2 linked regions of the Arabidopsis thaliana genome follow. The protein of the gene in region 1 purifies or fractionates together with the protein of each later gene. This does not show direct contact. Each region holds a gene or a part of one and is shown in the gene's direction. Other genes may lie near its edges.

Evidence for each region.
Region 2: the proteins of AT1G18830 (region 1) and AT3G01340 fractionate together in Arabidopsis thaliana (co-fractionation; one large-scale study listed by BioGRID). This does not show direct contact.

The regions. Positions count from the first base shown.
Region 1 is NC_003070.9:6,487,636-6,500,871, forward strand, and holds AT1G18830 (Transducin/WD40 repeat-like superfamily protein), read left to right. Parts: upstream 1-1,673; coding exon 1,674-1,969; intron 1,970-2,057; coding exon 2,058-2,112; intron 2,113-2,197; coding exon 2,198-2,314; intron 2,315-2,395; coding exon 2,396-2,492; intron 2,493-2,588; coding exon 2,589-2,625; intron 2,626-2,721; coding exon 2,722-2,821; intron 2,822-2,906; coding exon 2,907-2,964; intron 2,965-3,042; coding exon 3,043-3,140; intron 3,141-3,247; coding exon 3,248-3,367; intron 3,368-3,601; coding exon 3,602-3,625; coding exon of another isoform or gene 3,626-3,644; intron 3,645-3,711; coding exon 3,712-3,852; intron 3,853-3,938; coding exon 3,939-4,066; intron 4,067-4,161; coding exon 4,162-4,561; intron 4,562-4,651; coding exon 4,652-4,744; intron 4,745-4,850; coding exon 4,851-5,036; intron 5,037-5,124; coding exon 5,125-5,338; intron 5,339-5,431; coding exon 5,432-5,493; intron 5,494-5,572; coding exon 5,573-5,707; intron 5,708-5,794; coding exon 5,795-6,005; intron 6,006-6,137; and 5 more. Other genes in the region: MIF3 (mini zinc finger), read right to left, coding at 8,471-8,737.
Region 2 is NC_003074.8:123,978-134,211, reverse strand, and holds AT3G01340 (Transducin/WD40 repeat-like superfamily protein), read left to right. Parts: upstream 1-5,217; 5' UTR 5,218-5,320; exon of another isoform or gene 5,321-5,332; intron 5,333-5,728; 5' UTR 5,729-5,746; coding exon 5,747-6,655; 3' UTR 6,656-6,857; downstream 6,858-10,234. Other genes in the region: AT3G01345 (uncharacterized protein), read right to left, coding at 3,493-4,893; DEL3 (DP-E2F-like protein 3), read left to right, coding at 7,407-7,501, 7,581-7,648, 7,825-7,877, 7,948-8,025, 8,115-8,168, 8,294-8,372, 8,586-8,653, 8,748-8,820 and 3 more. UniProt on the Arabidopsis thaliana protein: Required for protein transport from the endoplasmic reticulum to the Golgi apparatus.

The DNA.
Region 1 (13,236 bases):
ACATGTAAGTTCTAAAGCAATCAATAGAATATGCCAATATGGTGATGAATAGTAAATTAATAATATATGTTTTGAAAATGTGATTCTGTTTTTTTTCTATATACATTTCACAACATTCATCAATTTTTATATTTTCACATTTTTTAAAGTGATACAGTTTTGAATTATAACTGAAAGTAGTCAATATGTATTTACGAAGGCTAAAATTTCTAGTGTCTTGAGATTTTTTAGTGTAAATATTTTGTTTTTGTTTGCTAACTTAGGTATCCCCACTAATCTATTCATCTCACTTAAACACTGTAGTATCACCATATTATTCCTGATGGTACAGTAATTTTACATGCAAGCCAAATGAACATTATGAGTTGGACCTTTCAACGTTATACAGTATCTTTTTTCCTTATCAAAGATTGATTCGAATTATCTCAATCATCAAATTATTATTTTCCTTTTTCTCGTTAGTTTGTGGATTTATTATCCATGATAAAAAAATAACATGTGGACAATGTTACGACAAGTGGTATGTGGAAATTGAACAACAAAGAGAAGAGAGAAATCGAACTGGCTTGGTATTTATTGTTGGTATGCCTATTGTTCAGTACTTCATAAATAGCTAGGTAGAAAGATTGGTGCGTAATGGATTTTGCATTTCCAACAAATACATATCCACACACATTTAAGTATAAATTGCCTTGACGTCTGCTGAAAAGTTTGGCAGTGGCAACGTCAAATATCTTTTCAGTATCATTATTGTCCCTTTAGAATAATAAAACTCCAAATATATAACTGTGGAAATTTTCTTTTTTTGTTTTTTCATCAAAGTACATGTGGATCAAAATGATTAGATTTTAAATCGCTATGCAGGGTTCTGGTTGTTTCAAGTTCACATTGTCTCTTAAACTTGTTTGATCAGCAAAGAACTGAATAGGTTCTGAACTAGGGGGATCCATGGGTTTTGGCAAAACATTTAAAAATTAGCAAAGGATAATATAATATTTGGGTATGTTATAAATCAAAAAGTCAAGATGGCCGAGTTGGTCTAAGGCGCCAGTTTCAGGTACTGGTCCGAAAGGGCGTGGGTTCAAATCCCACTCTTGACACTATTGATTTTCTGATTTTTTTTTTGACATCAATAGTTTGACACAAAACTGAAAAAAGGACTTGTAGATATAAGGCCTAGATGCCCTAGACGATCCACTGGGCTCTACAAACCGTTCTTTTCCAATATCAAATTTTGTGAACTAGCCCAAATTGTTTTTAATTTTTCTTTTCAAATTTAAAAATATGAGTTTACATATTAACTTAAAAAATATGAGTATATCATACGTCTAAATTTGATAACTAGCCCAATGTATTAATTTTAAACAATCATTCAATTTAATAAAAATGAAAAAATATATTTTAGTTGTCACCTTTATAATAAAGCTTTTGTGCTATTATCCAAATGGAAATAATGGATATTTTGGTCTTTGGGACAACACACAAATGACGTGTCGGATTGTGAATGGTAGTGATCACGGACCACCAAAGTCCAACATTACGAAACTACCCTTACTCGTTTACTATATATATACACCTAAGTTTTTGTCTACAACATTCGAAAACTCATTACAAAATTCTCTCTGTTTCCCTCCGCACTCTTGAGAAATCGCTTTCTTCGAGTCACTCTCACAATGGATTGCATAAAGAGTATTGGTAGATCCGCTTTCGTTGCCATCGCGCCGGAATCTCCGTTCATAGCAGCCGGAACAATGGCCGGAGCAGTAGATCTTTCGTTTAGTTCATCCGCCAATCTCGAGATCTTTGAACTCGATTTTCAGTCCAACGATCGTGAGCTAAAACTAGTAGGTCAATGCCAAAGTTCCGAGCGGTTTAATCGACTCGCTTGGGGAAGTTATGGCTCTGGATCCGATGGTCTCATAGCCGGTGGTCTAGTTGACGGGAACATCGGTTTATGGAATCCAATTAGGTGATTTTCCCTAAACCCTAATTGAAATCTATTAGCCTCTCTTCAATTTATACTGATTATGTAAAGTATTTTACTTTGTATTTATCAGTTCTGAGTCTGGTGAAATTGCGCACGTTAGAGATTTGTCAAAACACAAAGGACCTGTGAGTTTGTATCTTCTGTTTTGTTTTTTTTCCCGATATATATACATCGTTATTTGATGTGTACATGCATTGTTTTGTAATATAGGTTCGTGGTCTTGAATTTAATGTTAAGTCTCCAAATCAACTTGCTTCTGGGGCTGATGATGGTACAGTTTGTATTTGGGATTTAGCAAATCCTTCAAAGCCTTCTCATTATCTAAAGGTACTATACAGTTCAAGATCTCTGCAATTTTATCTTTTCTGGTGTATATATCTTTAAGATATATACAATGTCTCGTTGCAGGGTACTGGTTCTTATATGCAAAGTGAAATCTCTTCTTTATCATGGAATAAAGGGTTTCAACATGTTTTAGCATCTACCTCACACAACGGGACTACAGGTGAGCATTAGAGTTCTATGATCTGGTTCACATAGGTTAACTACAATTTTTCAACTTGTGCTAATCGTGTATATGATGAATATTGTTTTTACTTAGTGATATGGGATGTGAATAACGAGAAGATTATAACAGAGTAAGTTTTGAGATCCTGATTTATTTTTAGTTTGTTATATTAGAAATCCTCTGTGATCTCTTATCAAAACCTGATCTAGCCATTATCAATCAACAGCTTGAAAACTACCGTTAGGTGCTCAGTTTTGCAATGGGATCCTGATCATTTTAATCAGATTTTGGTTGCTTCAGATGAAGATAGTTCACCGAATGTGAAGGTAATCAGATCATATTAATTTTTATTTTTTCAAGTTCAATCAAATTTGGCTCTTTTCATTGGTCTCTAAAGATGTTTTCTGTCAGCTTTTGGACATAAGGTATCTACAATCACCTGTTCGCACATTTGTTGGTCACCAAAGAGGTATCTCCATCTCTTTTACTATATAGAATGTACCCTTGCATTGGTTGAAACAGAGTGGTGATACTTGTTATACAACAGGTGTGATTGCAATGGAGTGGTGTCCAAGTGACAGCTTGTATCTACTTACCTGTGGGAAAGACAACCGAACTATTTGTTGGAACACAAAGACAGGAAAGGTGAAGAGACAATAGATTTGATATAGCCTTGTTGTTAGCTTGCATATGCTTGTCAGTTAACTAGTACTTTATCTAAATTAATGGAATTTTTGGTCCAATTATGTCAGATTGTGGCTGAGTTACCTACTGGTCAAAACTGGAATTTTGATGTTCATTGGTATCCAAAGATGCCTGGAGTTATATCAGCATCTTCAGTTGATGGGAAAATTGGCATCTATAACCTTGAGGTAGCTCTTTGCAGTTTCGTTTTGGTGTTTGAAATTTGTGTTCTAGATCAAGATCAATAATATATGATTGTATACAAATAATGAACCAGTAAATTCAGCACAAGTTCATTTTTCCTCTTCATTGTTATTTTAGGAGTTAGGTTCCTGTTCTGTCATGGTACTGCTTAGTTCTGAAGAATACTTGTTTGTTTCCCACCCATAAATAAAATAAAATGAAAGTATGTATCTATGTAGGGTTGTAGCAGCTATGGTACCGAGGTGAACAATTTATATTCAGGTAATGTCCTTCAAGATCCCTCTTGTTGAACAATATGCTTGAATCATTGCTTTGTTGGGAGCATTAGAACCAACAGCACTTCTTATTCCATCTTCTCGATGCAGATCCTTTAACAGCACCAAAATGGTGGAAGCGCCCGGCTGGTGCATCTTTTGGATTTGGAGGAAAGCTTATTTCGTTTAACAAAAATCTTCCTGAGGCATCTGAGGTCTTGTTTTAGAGAGGACATTGTTTTATTCTGTTTTGCTGTTTTTATATTTCTTCAGTTCATTGACTCTTATGTGTGCGTGTCAGGTCTTTCTGCATAGCTTGGCCACAGAAAAAAGTTTGGTGAATCGAATTTCTAAATTTGAAGCTGCATTAGAAAATGGAGAGAAGACTTCCCTTAGGGGTTTATGCGAGAAGAAAACAGAAGAGGCCGAGTAAGTCTTGCAGTGACTGAAAATGATCAAATAATCATCCTTATATAAGTAACAGAAACTTACAATTTTCCTCTTTGTGTACATTGTTTCTGAAGATCTGAGGAAGAGAAGGAAACATGGGGACTGCTGAAAATTATGCTTGAAGAAGATGGGAACGCAAAGACGAAGTTGCGTAGCCATCTTGGCTTTAGTTTACCATCTGAGGAAAATGATCAAACTGCTAATGAGCCTCATGCTACATGTTCTTCTACAAACGTGGAAGAAACTCAGAAAGTGCCAGAACCAGAAGGAGAAGAAGAAGAGAGCTCTGATCCAACATTTGATGATGCCATCCAACGTTCATTGATTGTGGGAGATTACAAGGAAGCAGTGGCTCAGTGTTTTTCTGCAAATAAGATGGCTGATGCTTTAGTTATTGCTCATGTTGGTGGTACAGAATTGTGGGAGAGTACTCGTGATAAATATATAAGGATGAGCAATGCTCCTTACATGAAGGTATAGATATTATTAGACGTTTTTTCAACTTTACTTGATATGTTGATAAGTATAAGTGTCATCTTATATTACTATGTTAATCTGTTACAGGTTGTTTCTGCAATGATGAACAATGATCTAATGACCTACCTTCATACAAGACAACCTAAATCCTGGAAAGAAACTCTTGCTCTCATCTGCACTGTAAGTACTATTTTCTTGATGAAGTTAAAATACTTGCTCCTAGATGGTTTGATGTCACTAATAACTACACTAATGGAATGTTTTTTTCTTATTTATTGACAAACAGTTTGCAGAAGGAGATGAATGGATAAGCCTCTGCGATGCTCTTGCCTCAAATTTGATGGCTGCTGGTTTTACTTTGGCTGCAACTCTGTGTTACATTTGCGCAGGCAATGTCGACAAAACAGTAGACATTTGGTCAATGAGCCTTGAAAAACAAAGTGCTGGGAAATCTTATGCTGAGTGTGTTCAAGTGAGTATAGAATTCTATATCTTGCATAAATATTAAATAGTACTTCTCTGCTTAAACTTTTTTTTGCATTTCTTTTTCTGTGAAATAGGATCTTATGGAGAAAACTCTTGTCCTTGCTTTGACAACTTGCAACAAGAGAGTCAGTGCGTCTCTACGTAAACTCTTTGAAAGTTATGCTGAGATATTGGCTAGTCAAGGACTTATTGCAACAGCTATGAAGTTCTTAAAACTTCTGGAGTCTGGTGATTTCTCACCTGAACTTTCAATCTTGCGTGATCGGATTTCTCTGTATGCAGAACCTGGTATGTGTTCAGCTGTGTTGTGATTAATCTGCTATCGAAGAAAGCTATCATTCTGATATTAGCTAAATTTTTTGATAATATTGTTTCTTGCAGAAGCTGCTAACACTTCTGCTTCAACAAACACTCAGCCTAAAATTTCCAATCCATATCAAGAGGTATGTTGTTTGGCTTGGAACAAACTCTGTTATCTACTTGGTTTTTACTTAAACATTTATTCGTCTTATTTTCCTGCAGAAATCTTTTACTCCAGCTCCATTAAGCAATGCTCAGCCATCAAGAAGTATTACTTTTTTTCCTTTGAATCCTCCTCGAGAACTAAAGAACGCGGACCAATATCAGCAACCAACCATGGATTATCATTCATTTAATGTATATGATTCACTTCCATCTCCATTGTATTTAGTTTACATTGTCCACATTTTAGCTTTTGACTAACCAAAAAACCTCTGTCTCCAGCGATCCGCTGGCCCAGCTTACAATGCTCCACCCGGTCCTGGTTCATATCGATCCATCCATTCACAAGTTGGTCCATATATAAACTCCAAGATTCCCCAAACTGTTGCTCCTCCAGTCCGACCTATGACTCCAACACACCAGGTAGCGGTGCAACCAGAACCTGTAGCTCCACCACCAACTGTTCAGACTGCAGATACTTCCAATGTACCAGGTATTGACATTGTAAAACATTAAAGCAGAAAACGCACTTTTTGTCAGCATCATTACATGTGGTTTATTTGTTATATATAAGTTTTTTACTAAAATCAAATTGTTTTCTTCATGATGTTATGGAATGATCCAGCCCACCAGAAACCTATTGTGGCTTCATTGACAAGGCTATTTAAAGAGACATTTGAACCATTAAGAGGTTATTCAAGAGATACTCCTGCCAAGAAGCGTGAGGCAGAAGATAATTGCTCAAGAAAGCTAGGAGCTCTGTTTTCAAAACTAAATAATGGGGACATCTCGAAGAACGCTGCTGAAAAACTCACTCAGCTCTGTCAAGCTCTGGACAAACGTGATTTTGGTGCAGCGTTAAAAATACAGGTAAAAAGTGGTGTATTTGTGAATCTTTAGTAATCTTGCATTATCGTATTTATAAATGTTGAATAAAGAATAGAGTTTGGTTTGTTATTTGTTAATTTTGGTGAACAGGGGCTTATGACAAGCACCGAATGGGATGAGTGCAGTTCTTGGCTTCCAACACTTAAGAAAATGATCGTCACGGGAAGGCAAAATGTGCGGTGAAATGGTGAAATTTATCTGTTTGGGACTAGGTTATGTACTTGGTGAGAAATAAAGCAAATCAGTTCTAAATTTAACACTCTATTTTCATAATGTCTCTTCTTCTTTTTTTTCTCTTATCTTTTAAGTGTCTTTGGAACCTGGAGAAAAAAATAAGCATTTGCCTTGAAAACTTTAGAGCCAAGCAATGTAAAAGAAGCCTGGGTTCATGAGAATGGTGTTAAGGGTCGTGGATCGAATACAAATTTTGTTATGCCGAAGGTGGAAAATATGTGGTCCAACTCTGTGTTTAGTTATTGGCCTATTTTAGTTACTTTTACGTTAAAAGAAATTGTCTACGTACTGTCTAGAGGTTCACAAAATCAGAATATGTATGCTCCAAAAGAGTATCTTGACTTTTTTTAATTACATTAAGAAATACTACAGTGGTCTTTTCCAACAAATTCGAGTGGCCACTTTGATGAGAGCAAAAGTGGCCAATATGTTTTTGGTGGTATTATATTGCTTTATGATAATGGCTTAAAATCTTTGTTATATATGGAAGCGAATTGAAAAACATGAACCTAAACGATTTGATAACATGATTTGAAATGTGGGCCGCTGTGTTTTAAATTAAATTACATTAACATAAACATAACAAAAAAACTCCATCATGATCTTTTCTAGCAACCAAAAAGAATGATAACGACCAGACCGTCTATTAATTAGATATATAAGTAATGCTTTGACACTTGACTTCTGGCTTTATTTGTTTAATATGTACATGAACTCGACTTAATCGAATAAAGTCATCAAGTTTAATAATATTTTCTTCATAACACTAAATTTACTTTGATTTAAATTTCATATGGACATCAAACTTTATATTTTTAATATGTGTTGAACATTTTATCGGAATCTTTTGTATGTAAAGTGGTGGGTCGAATATTCAACAGAAAGAGACAAAGGGAAGAAACATATGATTATTGGTACTTGTATGCATTACTTATATTTTTTTTTTTACGTAATAAAAGCTAAGATCCAAATTTTATTTTACAATAAAATAATCATTTTAACTACTTATTTTCAACAAAACTCACCTATCTAGCTATAAGTCAATATAAGAATAAGAACAAAGATTTAACTTGCTTATTAATTTGTGTTTTGAATTCCATTTATAAGTCTGTATATCCCCATTTTCTGTTGCTGTCATTGACCATATGCTTCGTATACTCTACATGTGCGATATAGATATACATCGAAATATATTAATACATCAAAACAAGCATTGGAATTTGAAAGAGATCGCAAGTGCTCATAAGGATTCATCTCTTTCAGCGCAAGCTAAGTGCTCTTAAAGATTCATCTCTTTCAAATAAGAAATATAGTTTATTATGTATCCTGCTTAAAACATTAGCATACACATATATATAGACGTACAAATGTGATTAGCTCAATGAAGAAAGATTAGTTTCGATTGGATACTTTTGTGTTATACGGAATGTTAATGGTTTATGTACGTCTTTAGAACTCGTCACCAAAATTATCTACGGCTCATTCTATTCTAAATCGACAACTTCTTAAACGCTTTAAGACTTCTGGGTTTTTAAAATAATCAAAAGCAAGATCCGCCAAAAAAAGGAAAAACAAAAAAATTGTTCCACATATTGTAATCTTAAATATAGGTACACATAGATTTGAAGTATGTATCACATCAAGATTGAAAAATCATTCATCATATAGATCGGCGTTAATGTAAGTAGTTGAATATACAACATTAACCATATACATATACATATAAAATACATCTCGATCTAATATAAATCAATAGATCAAATCCAAAGCAGGTTCCTTTTTTCTTTGTTTTCAGTTACCTTTCTTGGCTTTTCTTCTTTTTTCCATCTTCGTTCATCAGTTGTTTGCATTCGGAGGAGAATACTCACAAACAACCTCCGTGTCAACTTCCCTCCGGTGAAAATTCCGGTGACAGCCACAGGCAGCACACGTCAAAGCATCATCTCCGCCGCTTGCCATAAACTCCCGGCAACCGTCAACAGCGTAGCCGCCAATATTAGCGGCATGATTCTTCTGACACTCAACGTAACGGACGTTGCTTGAAGAAGAAGTCATAGTGTAAGAGCTTTTTCTCTGTTTTATCACCACTTGCCTCTTCTTCATCTTCTTCGTAAACTGATCTCCCGAAAAACCCTAAAAGAAAATTCCGATTACCTTGTTTTGTGGGGAAATGATCAAACACTCTTTTTGGATACTAAGTAAAATGGTACTTGCCAATGAAATGCCCCTTTGTAGCCCTTAATATATAAATAGGGTTGTTGAGTGTTGACTATATATCTCTACACTATAGACGGATTTGCTGAAGCATTTGTTAAATTATTATATGACTAAGTATTTGAAAAAGTCGCATCAGAAAAAGAAGTCATTGTGAAATGAAATATATCTATATTTGGTAAGACAAAGACTTCGACATGTAATTAGGTTTATAAGGGTAAAAATATGTTACGTAACATGGAAGAAGTGCAACAAATGATGTAGAATATAAGATTACTAGCTAGCTAGTGATCTTGACATCTAGTATATTTAAACCATTTTCTTTGATAGTTAGAATCGAGTATAATATTTTTGAAAATGTTGAAGATATTTTTAACCGACTTTTAAATAATAGATATACTATTTATCTGTATATATTATATGAACAACAACAAAATTCTTAAATTTGATACGAGGGAACCTACTTTTTAATTTAATACTAGAATTCAAATTTACGTTCATTTTATTTCCAACGGTGTCTTCCAAAATTGCAAACATAAAACTCAGCAATGAGCCTTATTTGTACCGTTGTTTTCACGTGCAATTGCTTCGCATAAATCTTTTAATTCATTGGAAAAATAATTTAGTAATAAAACCAATTAAATGCTAGCCACTAGTGGCTCATGAAATAAATAAATAATTGAATAAACAAAATAAATGCGTATCCGAGTCACTCCAAGGGACATGCTCCCACAAGCAATAGACACTGACAGATTGTTGGAGTATAATCGCATTATCAATCACATTTTTTATTATCATTATGGACTTCCATTTAAGTCTTATATACAACTATAAATAAATATATATCATTGTATATATCATTATATATATAGATAATGTTGTTTTCTTGGCAACTATATATAAAAGTATAGAATTATAAATTCCATTTCAGTAAAATTATATATATTAATGCACAAAAGATAATGAGGTTTCAATTCGGATTTTTATTTAGAAATTCAGTAATACTTTGACTACTTACTTATAACGCGAAGCAACAAATGTGGATCCCAGTTGTACACAAAAGACAACGTCAAATGCCCCATGCGATTTGATTATAAATTAGTTTTGCCCTAAAGATGATCAAAATTATTTTCTGTATATAAATTATTAACGTGTAGACTACTACATCAAGTCATCGACAGTGCTTAATAATCTAGACTGATTTTTGAATTATGGAGATTCGAATGTTCGGTACAATTTTATGAAATATATCAGCATAATTAACAAATCAAATATATTTTTTTGACAGCCAAAAAAAAAAAAAAAAAAAAAAAAAAAAAATCTTCGATTAGAGAAAGAAAAACAAAATAAACAAATATCAAAACCATATATGAACATCTTGACACACAAAACTATACCAACAAATTATTGACAAGTTTTGATCTCGACTTTTACTACTCACTGTAATAGTACGTAAGTTTATTTTGGCTATAACTACAATGGTATTAACTTTATATATCCTATCAATTCAGAAAAAATGGTACTTGTAAACTGAAACATAAAATTTACAAAACAATTTCTTTGATCATTAGGAAAATAAAAAGCCGAAAATCACGGGCGAATGTCAAGAAGTCTGTTTTGTCGAATAGAAAATGAAGACACGGCATGAGTTCTTCTGTTCAATTTCTCTTGGCGAGTTCAAATTTTTTGCCACCTCCAATAAGCCAATAAGGAGGTAATTAAGTTAATAATGATACCTTTCAGAACCATATTGTGCTAATTAACAATCACATTATATAGCAGATATTCGTCCAAACATCTACTGCAGAATACTATAAACTATAAAGTAGTTAAGACCGCATTTAAAACAATTTGGAATATAGAGAGAGTCAGCGAGAGATGGGATGTTCTTAAATATTTGTGTAAAAGACTCTTTGTTTCTCACCAACCGTGCCCTACTCGTGAAGTTGCCAACCTAAAATCTATACAACCCCAAATCATTTGAATAGTTTATATATATATTTCATACACTGATCAATCATCATACTGGATTTACATGTATATACAATATTGTAAAACTAGGGATTCGAGACCGAGTCACACTGATGAAAATTTTACTTCAAGAGTATAAAATATAATCGTGAATAAGGTTTGTGATATATTTAAACAAAAAGTCTGTAAAAACTGCGTCTGACACTGGCAGAGATACAAAAACAAATTAAGGAACCAACAAGAGAAAGGGCCCAAAATGATTGTCAAACTATGACTTGCATAAATTATTATAGTTGGAAGGTTTGAATCTACTCCACTTTTTTCCAACTACTTTAATTTATTTATTTGTTTATGTATGTTTCCTTCCCTCCAAATATCATATTTAATCCATTTTCATTATAGTTTGATGAATGAAATCGAAAACATGATGATTCGAGAAAATCCAGCATGCCATATTGGCAAATATTATTAAACTTGTTCATAGAGTTTTTTTTTCTTCTTCTTATCAATTATCATTACTACCAAAATAATTGACAATATAATCGTCATTATCGTTTAACATCAATGTTGTTTTTAGAGTAGAAAATCTCTCCGAGAAACCAGAAACGTACAGATTTCTCAGGATTTTAAACATGCATGAAAAAAATCAATCAACTACGTACACCTACGATTGCGAATTATTTAATGGGCTTATTTCAAAGATAAAGCCCAGTATATTTGACGACCTTTTGTTGCTGGCTTTCTGAGTTGTCTGGATTTGGGCTCAATAACCAAAACTCTAGAAGAATTTATGTATTATCGAAAAAGATTTCAGAAGATCCATATTTTTTGTTCCGGCAATCTCAGAAGATTCTGTTATGCATGATGTTTATACTGGTAATAATCTGGTTAATCAGAACCAATTAAATACGAAACAGCGAGAAATCACACAGAGAACAAATGAAGTCTTGCATACTCATATAATATAATAATGCATCAACCAAATAGGTAATGCAAGACATGTTTTAAAGAACAATGATATAGAAACTTAAGCCGATGAAGGATTAAGAGACAAATATTAACCTTCTTTATAAAACAGAGTACTGAAAGAAAATAGAGTTACTGACATTACAGAAACAGAGTATAGCCTTAGCTTTACTTTCAGAAACAAAACATTGTTTCATTTTATATTATAGTAAAAATGTCAGCATTTGTTGTATTTGTTGTGAATAGGATCAGATCCTCTTCCAATCATTCTTTTCACAGATTGATTAGGATCAGACATAACGAAAGGAGAAGGCGCCAAGTTTCCTTTTGATGATGAAGAGGACTCAGGCTCAGACTCTTCAAGAACACGCAAAGGATGAACAAACATAAGCTGCATCCTCATGTCTCTGTCCCATCTAAGACCCGAAACGTAATCAGTTTGAAGTACCGAAAACGCGATGAGAAGAAGAAGAATCATTCCTATATGACCAATTGAAACACCCATGTTAACTAATATGTAGATACTACAGCGTTTTGTTTCTGAAAGTACAACTTGAGAGATTATATATAAATGGAAAAAGGTTAAAGAACAAGAGAGAATTTTGTATCTCCCTCTCTATCTCTTTGTTTTTGGAATGGAGAGAAGATTGGTAAGAAAGAAGCATATATAAAGGCTGGTTTTAGAAGAACTCTCTTCTGACAAGTTTGAACCAAAAAAGGGTTTACACTTGGAACTCTCTTCTAGGGAAGCTAAGCATATCTCCCTCTCCCTTTTTTTTTTCCTTTCATTTCCATACTTTCTTTTCTTCTAACATACAGATATATAAGTGTAGTTTTTCTGTTTAGATAAGGTGAATGGTGATACTGACACATACATATAAATATATAGTTTCAAAGGTGCATTCTTGTGTTGCTTTTTGAGCATTGTACGTCATACACTACCACAATGTCTGCTTTCAAATAGAATCACCAAAGAGCATAGAGATATCTTTGGAACATTCCCTTTCTCCTGACATGGACTGCCGTTACATATAAAATGAATATAAAAAAAAAGTGTTTATTCAAAAAGAATAAATTGAAAATGATGAAGAAGAATAATAAAATGAATAGGAAGCCTGGTTCAAAAGCTTGTGTTAATTTCAACTTTTGTAATTTTAAGCTCTTTTTTCCATGCAATGAAATTCAGTCTTGCTTCTTTGAGCTCAATCTAATATCCTTTATGCTTTTCTTTATTTGCATTTTTTTTCCTTTATTTACTTATGAAATATGATCCTTTCCCTCCCTAATCATTCATTCAAACTTAGGACCCTAGGACATTTGAAGATTCCTATATCACAAGTCACAACATATGAGGAGCTTAAGGATAATTAGTTCATTATACATGACATAACCATCTAAAGTTGATTTATTTTATTTTGAAGATAATATATGAGAAGTAATGTAAGATTAAA
Region 2 (10,234 bases), on another chromosome or scaffold:
CCTTTTAATTAAATTGAGGTTTAACGTATTTTACAAAAGAAAGAAAAAGAGGAAATTTTTTATAAATATGTCGATAAAATGCAAAATCATGCAGTATATATCACTAAAATGGACCATCTAGCTCTTAGCTTTCTATCTGTTAGCTACATTGAATTCATCCTTCACCCTTGTACAATATGAAAAAGAAATAACTATAATTAAAGTTATATGTTCCTTTCATTTACATTTGGCGTATTTGATACTCTTTTATATACATAATTTTCGCATTCCCTTTTTTGCGATTCTTTTTCCTTATACAAGGTTGTTCTTTTGTTTCTTTGTTTCTAATTTCTCTATTTTTCCTAAACGTTTTGTTCTTGGTAAAAAAAGAAAAAATCATTTGATTATCAAAATATTGATGTGAGCTCATTTCGTGATAAGTGTTTAGTCTATATTTTAACTTAATTTATTTTTGGTTTGTTAGAATTCCACATCAAAAAATACAAAAAGTCTAAAGTAATATATTAATGATAGATCAACTCATTTAGTAGCAATTAGTATCGAATTGAAAAGCTCATGAAAGTTAATATGATTACAAAAAATGATAGTTCTATTTCGATAAATTTCATTAGAATTGTTTTTTAAAGAAAATTCAAGCAAACTTAAATTTCAATTTAGTAGGTATCATGTACGAAGAGGTTACATACAATACAAGTAAGTATGTCGTCATGTAGATCTCACGTGGCATACGTTTTGCGAATAGCGAATACGTGAACAAAACACGTTTTCTCTATACGTGCCAGGCGTCGCATATAAAAACGGATGCATATTAACACTTGTAGGTGGTTCTGTAATTAAGGAATTATAGATAAATTTTTTTTTTTTAAACTGTTCTATAGTTGTAAAACTGACTGTAGTGGAACGTTATAGTATTCAATTCTTACGATTTAGTTCCTTAAATTCAAAGTGTTCGTGACACAAAAAACAAAAATCCATTAAAAGTGTGCTATCATTTTTTGAACAACCTTTTTTTGCCTCATTGACCGACTTTGGGGATTAAGGTCTTTTTCTTTTGAATATTTAAATTTAATCTTTCTTTTTTTGTCGAAAGGTTTTTAAATTTATCTAAAATTCTTCTTTGAAAAAAACATTTTTCTTTTTTATAAAAAACAATTGTGAAAGAAACACCTATATACAAACTTATGCAACGTGGGTGGTGGTGCCATTATAGGGTGGATTTAAGAGAGGAATGAGATAAGATCGAATTGTTTAGAGCAAAAGTATTACCGAGACTTGCTCTTCAGTGAGCCATTATTCGAATCTTTGATGCAAATATATCCATCGAAGCTTTAGGTTGGCCTTAAACCGATGTTCCTCAATATCCAAGGAGTTACCAAACCAGGACTCATTTTCTTTTTCCTCTCATACCTCGATTGTTTGAAATTTATTATCAAAGAGGCTTATCATTGTTGGATTAGATCTGCATTTTTCCAGTCACGAAAAAATATATATATATATATATATATTTTTTAAAAAAAACTTAATATATTAGGCCAAATCTGCAGAGAGTACGGAGAAAATGAGAAGGTAGAAATTATAAACTGAGCAGAGATTTGAAAAATTAAGAGAGATAAAGATTTATTACTTTCTGACTATCAAAGTATTAACTCTATAAATAGAAAAGTAGGAAATAATTAAGAGAGTAAAAGATAAGATGGTCTCAGAACCATATAGTTTCCGGAATATTTGGCGATTTACAGAAAGACTTAAAATACCTAAGATGAAATTACAATTAACTACTAAAGACGATATACAGTAGAGATTAATTTATGGTAATTAAATGTTCATGCGGATTATAAATTATAAGAATCCAATAATGGTTTAAAAAAGGAAAAAGGATGATAAAATCAACTTTGGAGAAAAGTGGAGTTTATTAAGTGAGTGAGTGCCACAACGTAGACTTGCACCAAATTTTTTAAAAGGGAACAGCTTCCGTGCATCAACCTTCTCTCTCGCTCTGATATATACTGCCACGTGTCTCACGTTCTTTTCCACGTCGATAAATACACGTCATTTCCTATGGATGCTTTAATTTTCTTTTATTCGGTTACTGGCAGCAAAATTTATTTTATCTTTTTTCTTTTTCTTTTTTGGAAAATACTTTATTCTTTAACGTTTTAACACAAATTGATACGTATTTTTTTATGTGGTCCAATAATGCTGACCACAAATAGAAAAGTGAAGATCATTCATGGTCCAACAAAAATTATATTTTATTATAAATTTTATTTCATTTGACATCAGTCAATTTTCACCGTTATAATATTATAAAGTTATTTAGTGTGTTAGGAAAAAGTAACTATTTAAGTTGATTAAAATTTTGGTTTTATATTTGTTTTCTGTTTTTATATCCAACACAAATTAAGTTGAATGTCATGTTAAATATTCAATATTAAATTTTAGAATTTAAAGGGTTCCATTGTTGAGAACTTGAGAGCAACACGTGCTAACGTTTGCTAAGCACGTGAACTGCGAAAGCTATTGTTGAATACATTCGTGTGTAAAGTAAATATGATTATATGAACGTTAGAATGTTATATTGGGAAATTATTTATCACTTGTTTGTAGACAACATGATCACGTACTACCTGGAAAACAATAATGAAGTTATGATGTAGATGTTGACATTTTTTTGTTTTGTAAAAAAGGATATACTGTATTTTGGAGATGTTGAGTTTTTTCTTGTAACGAAAATATTCAAGACACTCTCTGCATGTAGTTTTATTTCAAGTAACTTGGTATATAATATAGACCTTTTAGTTTCTTTTAAATTCTTTGTCCAACAAAAAAAGTTTCTTTAAAATTCTTTGTACCCCCACGCTATGGTGGTTTAGTGAGATGGAAATCATTTTGGTCTACAAAGTAGAATGGGAACAGAGATAACACTGTACGTGTTTTGTCTGTCCTTATGAGAAATTATAACTATCAAATCTAGTATTTCCTGTCTTCCTGATAAAGATAATAATCATATAATATTTGGCTATTTGCGTGCCTGATCCTTTATCTACATGGTACGTAAACTAGCACTTAACGAACACATGTTGGTTTCATACGATCTAGTTAATTAAGGTGACTACATGCACTTACACAAAACTTGAATTTAAGTATTTTTATACTAGTGTCATAGAAATATCTGTATTAGTTTGGTGGTACAAAGTTAACATTAAATATGTTAATGCTTGGCTATTCACGAACATTTTAAGATTATATCGTATTATTCTTTTGGTGACTTTCTACATTACATTATAGTATTGACTGTTTGACTCCAAGTGAGTATTTAAATATGACCAAAATATCCATACGTTAGAAAGTTATACTTTTGTTTAATTTCTTTGTTTACCATATAATTTTGACTCTTATATTAGTAACAGTTATGTTTCTTCAGTTATTATATATATGAACAATGATATAAAGAATTCAGTTTTTTTTTTGTCAAACAAAGATCTTCATTCATTAAAATCTCAAAAGAGACAAGTTCATACACAATGAAAATAAGAAATTACAGGAAAATAAGGATAGAAGCTTCATGAGTTTTCTAATGATTGAAAAATCTGTTGAGGCCTTGGCAGATTCGACCATGAAGGCGGGCTTCGCGAAATCCTCGACCATCTTGTGGTCAAAAGAAGCTCTTGCAAACAATGCATCCGAGCTTTTGAAGAAGTGCTCCGTTGAGGAGGCTGACGGGTTAACGAGGTTGAGAAAAAGACGGTAACCACTTCTTGAAGACATGGTCATAATGCCGTACTTTTTCAACATGTCAAGAGATTGCAAATTATCCAAGCAATAGATTAACATGACATGAATGAGCGCGATAAATGGTGAGTGGATAAGTTGAGAGTTTTCAAGGCTTCGGTAACACCTACTCGGTAGAGACAGGGTCATAATGCCGATCCTCTTAACTCTAAAGGCCATTTGCCTATGGGTGGGTAAAGGAGTCTCGGATAGGGTCCAAAGAAAACTTAACATCTTATCTCGACAATGGTAACTACCATTCCCACCTAAACAAACCACTATTCTGATAGCAAGGCGTCCATTACCAGCCCAAACAGAGGTAGAGGGTGCTAAAAGGAGGGAACTCGATAGTAAATTAACGATACTTGGTGTGGGCAGCAACACTCTAGGACACTTCCAAAGAGAAAATAGCTCCAAACGATTCAAGACTAGACTCAAACACTGAAGAAAACGGACCAAACGAGATAGACTATCAACTAGGTTTTGTGAGAGAGAGCTACTAATCCAAGCTAAATCCATCATCACCATCACAGGAAAGCGTCCATTACTCTCCCTAAATGATAACAACATCAAAAAATTTGGGCTTTGTAAAACAGATTTGAAAACAGACCTGGGCCTTAGAGGATATGGGCTTAACCCAGCAGAAGGCTTCATGGGCTTTAATAGTTTAGGTAATGGGTTAGGGGGAGGACAGAAGGGGCTTGGGTTGGGCCCAATGCGAAAACCCTGAGGCAGCATTAGGTTTAGCCGCCAAGCGCATCTTCTCTTTGTCACCAACGACGACGGCGACGGCAAAACGGACTTAGGGTTTACAGCTGCCGAATTGAGGGCGTCAGAGACAAGATCTAACCAAACGAAGTTTGTTTGCGATGAGGCTCGGTCTGCAGAAGTTGGATCTTCCAAGGTAAAGCTCTTCAACAGCTCCGGCGTCAAAGCAAAGCTCCGATCCAGAGGGGAATAGGGAGATGCCGGTATTGACTTCAAGGGGAGCCGAGGAGAGGGATAAACCACGGAGGTCGCAAAGAAGATAAGGGGAGAACTAGCACAAGAAGTGAACGTGTTCAGAGGTATGGTGGTCAAGGTAATCTTTGGATACAAAGGGAGAAAAGACAAGCGAAACATGGGAACACGGGAGAATAGAGAACACCAGATGACATAGCCATTGAGAAGAGAGCGACAAGGGAACGATAGCTCCCGGCACCGGCGAGCAAACGGCTCTACCGGTGCCGGAATTTGTTTGGAAGCTTTGGCCTCGATGAGAGAGAATGAATGAAAAGAATTCAGTTTAAAAATGTCAAATTGGTGTTCTCAATTTTCAACATACCCAATAATACAACTAAACAATATTGAAGGCCCAATACCATATACACGATGGCCCATCTACTGCCTGATAGTATGTAGGGGGTATTAATGTCATTCCAACAAGTAGGGGTAGAATCGGTAATAAGGACACAAACTCGCCTCTTTCGCTTTGTCTCTCTCGTCTCTAAGCAGTAGCAGATCTGAGTTTTGGAGAGTTCAAAGGAAGAAGATAACTCCAATACCAGAGGTTCGTAACGATGTGAGATTTTTCTCTGTTGTTTATGAAGTCTTAGCTCAATTTGATCTTCCAATGAATTTCGTTAAAATTTGCTAGACTTCTATCAGCGCCTGTAGATCGATTTAGGTTATGTACTCTCATTCACATCGGTGGGAAGCGATCAATCTTAGAATCCACGTTTTATAATTTCTCGTTTTGATCTTGTTTTTTTCACAACTTGTAAACATTGCGATGTTGATTGTGTTGATTAATCGCTTAAAATTGAGGTCTGAGTTTAAATAATCCTTGTGCTTACCATATGGTCTTGGCTGTGATAATTTGTTAATTGTTCTGCTTAATAATCTAACACTTTGCTTCGGTTAATGTCTGGATCAACATGCTCATGGTTGTGTTCCCTGTTGATTTGTATTGTAACAGTGAAAGCATTCAGGAAACATGCCTCCTCAGAAGATTGAAACTGGTCATAGCGACACTATTCATGATGTGGTCATGGATTACTATGGAAAGCGAGTAGCAACTGCCTCGTCTGACTGCACGATCAAGATAACCGGAGTAAGCAACAGCGGTGGATCTCAGCATCTAGCTACCTTAACCGGTCATCGAGGTCCTGTCTGGCAAGTCGCTTGGGCGCACCCAAAGTTTGGTTCACTTCTCGCTTCATGTTCCTATGATGGGCAAATTATATTATGGAAAGAAGGTAACCAAAACCAATGGACACAAGCTCATGTCTTCACAGACCACAAAGTATCTGTCAACTCTATCGCTTGGGCTCCTCATGAACTTGGACTCTCCTTAGCTTGCGGAGCATCTGATGGAAACATATCAGTTTTCTCGGCTCGAGCTGATGGCGGTTGGGACACGACAAAGATAGACCAAGCACACCCTGTTGGTGTCACTTCAGTGTCGTGGGCACCGGCCACAGAACCAGGCGCACTCGTTAGCTCTGGTATGATCGATCCGGTCTACAAACTAGCATCCGGCGGGTGTGATAGCACGGTGAAAGTGTGGAAGTTCTCGAACGGGTCATGGAAAATGGATTGTTTCCCGGCTCTCAACAAGCACACGGATTGGGTCCGTGATGTGGCTTGGGCACCGAACTTGGGTCTCCCAAAGTCAACCATAGCCAGTGGTTCAGAAGATGGGAAAGTGATCATATGGACCATAGGGAAAGAAGGTGAGCAATGGGAAGGTACTGTTTTGAAAGATTTCAAAACACCAGTGTGGCGGGTCTCGTGGTCGTTGACCGGTAATTTGTTGGCTGTTTCCGATGGGAACAATAACGTTACAGTGTGGAAAGAGTCTGTTGATGGAGAGTGGGAACAAGTGACTGTTGTTGAGCCATAGATTGTTGTTTGTTTGTTTGGTTATCTTTTGTTTTGTGGTAATATCAAAATGTGGTGTGTTCTGTATACAATTTCTAGGGACCTGTTTCTCTCTATACGTTTCTCAGGAAAGTATATTCTTATGTATTTTAATCAGACAACAGAGATTGCAAAAGAAATGTATTTTTCATAAAACTTTTTAATTCCGATAATGAGTTTTTTTTACTGGTATGATGTTTTTCACATTTTTACCCTTTTATGAGATTCCGATTTTGGCGTAAATTCATTGTAGTTTATAACCAAAATTTAATTGATTTCAATATAAACTCATTTTTAACTAATTAATACTTTAAAAATTTAAGCCTGTTCAACCTTAGTTAATTGTGTTTTTAATCGATCAACTAATTTTCAACTCATTAACCAGCTCGTTTAGCCAGCCACTTGATAAATTTTAATGCTCAATTAGGCATAAAATTTTGATTTACGAAATTTTGCCGATGGCGCTCAAAAAATGCTAATCCGGCTCTGCATCGATTTATAATATTTACCCTTTCAATACTCCGTGTAGTTAAGAGGATCGAGGGTATTTGCGTCATTAACAGTGATAACAAGTGCTAAAGCGATGAATGAAGCGCCTATTTTCACAATTCGAAATCTCTCTCCCCCCGCTTTGGCCCCAAAAAGTTTTTTTTTTTTTTTTTTAATTGCTAAGACAAATATCCGAATCTCAGAAATTTCTCGTCCTCTTTCTCTGTTTTTTGTTTCTGGGGAAAATGTCTTCTGCGATTGTTGTTTCTCAAGATGCGGAATCGCTTGGTCTGCAAATTTATAGCCGCAAGGAGAAATCTCTTGGGGTTCTCGTCTCCAAGTAACACCTCTCTCTCTCTCTTTCACCAGATTTTGCTTTGTTGGATTTATGTGTAATTGATGTCTTATGTACGATTCAGTTTCCTGAGACTGTATAACCGAGACGATGTGGATCTCATTGGGCTCGATGATGCCGCTGGGCAATTAGGTTTATTCTTCTTCCTCCTGATTTTGTGAGATTGAAATTTTAAAATCGATGGATAGGTCAAATCTAAACGTATGCGTTCGATTCCTAGACTAAGAACAATTGGGCTAACGGAGAACTAAGTAATCCGATGACTGTTTTGGTTACGCTCTCATCGGATTTCTCAAATTTTGTTTCAGGAGTTGAAAGGCGGCGTATCTATGATGTGGTCAATATATTGGAGAGTATTGGGGTATGTATGCTCTTTTTTATTTTGCTGGGTTTAGCTTGAGCTGATTTAGAGTTTTGTGGTGTATATTCAGATTGTGGCAAGAAGAGGGAAGAATCAATACTCGTGGAAAGGTTTTGGAGAGATTCCTCGTTCTCTAGATGAACTCAAGGTTTACTTGATATGGATGTTCAACATCTGGCTTTTAATGATGCAAGGAGAATGGTTTTGAAACTTGTCTTTGGTTGTTTTTGTTTACAGGAAGAAGGGATGAGAGAGAGGTTAGGTTACTCAAGTTCAAACAATTCAGACAAGGTATATAAGTTCATCCTCTTAAGATTCTTTGTTGCTGAATTTTTTATTAGATTTTTTAAAGTGGTTTGGAATTTAACTTTGAAGATGTTACCTGTGATGTGATTCTATGGTCGTAAATGTATTAGGTTTCAAATGGTTGTGAAAGAGAAGAACCTTTAACTTTAACACCTGATGATCAGGAGAACTCATCATCCTCTAAAATGGGTAATCTTCTTTCTTCTAGTGTTTTGTTTTGTTGGAGTGTTATCAATATCCATCTGCTAATCACTATTGGGATTTCAGTCCACAACTTGATTCTGAATAAACATTCTTCTGCAAATAGTTCTGCATTAACAAAGTGCTACTTGATGAATAAAAGTTTCCAGGATAAGATTTTCTTTAGGAGCTAACTTGAAATCAAACTAATATCATTTTCAGACCAAAAGAAGGAAAAATCTCTCTGGCTTCTCGCACAGAATTTTGTGAAGATGTTTCTATGTTCTGATGTAAGTGAATATCTCTCTTTGGCTTCTTACACAATACTTTTCAAATCCCTCTTATAAACAACAACTCACACCCTGTCTGCTGCCTTCTCTTCAGGATGATCTCATCACACTTGATAGTGCTGCAAAAGCCTTGCTGAGCGACTCTCCAGATTCAGTCCATATGCGAAGTACATCTATATTTCCTGTTTTAGATCTTTTCTAATCTCTGTTCTCACAAGTATACAGTACCATTAACCAACCAAATTTCTGAAATTGATTAACAGCTAAAGTTAGAAGACTTTACGACATTGCAAATGTATTTGCCTCGATGAATTTAATCGAGAAGGTAAGAGCTTTGTTCCTAAGCCAATACATTAACACTGTAATACTTGCAAATTTCCAGTGTATCATCTTTTAGTTATTATTATTATTTTTTTTGCTTTCTCCAGACTCATATACCAGTGACTAGGAAACCAGCATATAGGTGGTTAGGGTCCAAAAGCATAGCTGAAAGAGGATTAAGCTTATTTAATTCCGGAGAACCGAAGCGGGTATTTGGAACAGAGATCACAAACTTGAGGGCAAAGAGAAACAAAACATATTGTTCATCAATCCGCAAGCAAATTGGATATAAGAAACATGACGAGGAAAACACAGAGCAGGAATCGAAACCAGCTGCAAGTAAATATGTGTTTGGCCCGTTCTCCCCAATAGGAGCATCTAAGACGAACAACGACAAAGTCGGAAAGGGAAGGTTACTAGAGATCGAGGCCCTTGCTTCTACCTACCAACCACAGTATTGCAATCAAGGTAACAACCACACTCTAATCGTTTCTTGATTCGATTGGCAAACATATCTGATTATAAAACATAAACTGAGTTTTGGTTTTGAAAAATGTTGTTAAAACAGAAATAACTGGTCTTCTTGGGCATTTCACGGAGGCATGGAAGAAATGGTATGCAGAGGTTGATCGGAATAAATAACATTACTGAGGTCACATGTTTTCTCTGGGTACATGAGAGCACATAACTCATCCAACATATAGCTTTAGTCTTTGTTTGCCTTAAACAATAGTAAGAAACAGAGTATTGTTATTGTTAATAAAAGTCACACCCAACAAATTCCGAGTGACTTTGTTCTATACTTGATTCGAATTCCTATCCTCTCCTTAACTTAATATAAATGTTTAATCCATCCATATTTGGTTTGGTATCATTACATTTCTTTTCAGTTGTAAAAAGAAAAGAAAATTTATGCTCATAAAACTTAAACCAAATCTATATCATCATGTTTTGACTTTTGTACCTTGTGCCACAACTATGCAAACGATCTTAGAAGAACTACAATATTAGTTTGTTTTTTTTTTTTTTTTTCACCGACAATATTAGTTTTTTTACCTACCTAGAAAACTTGAATCTTCCATTCATTTATCCTTGGATTAGTTGTTGATAATAATATACTGTTGTATTTAATTTCAGAATCACAAAAACTGAAAAGTGATAAAATTAATTAATTTTCTGTCAAATAGTATGTACTATAGAAAAGTGATTTATTTTCTTTCTTTTTTTAATGGGAAATGGAGCTGATATCCACTTTATGGA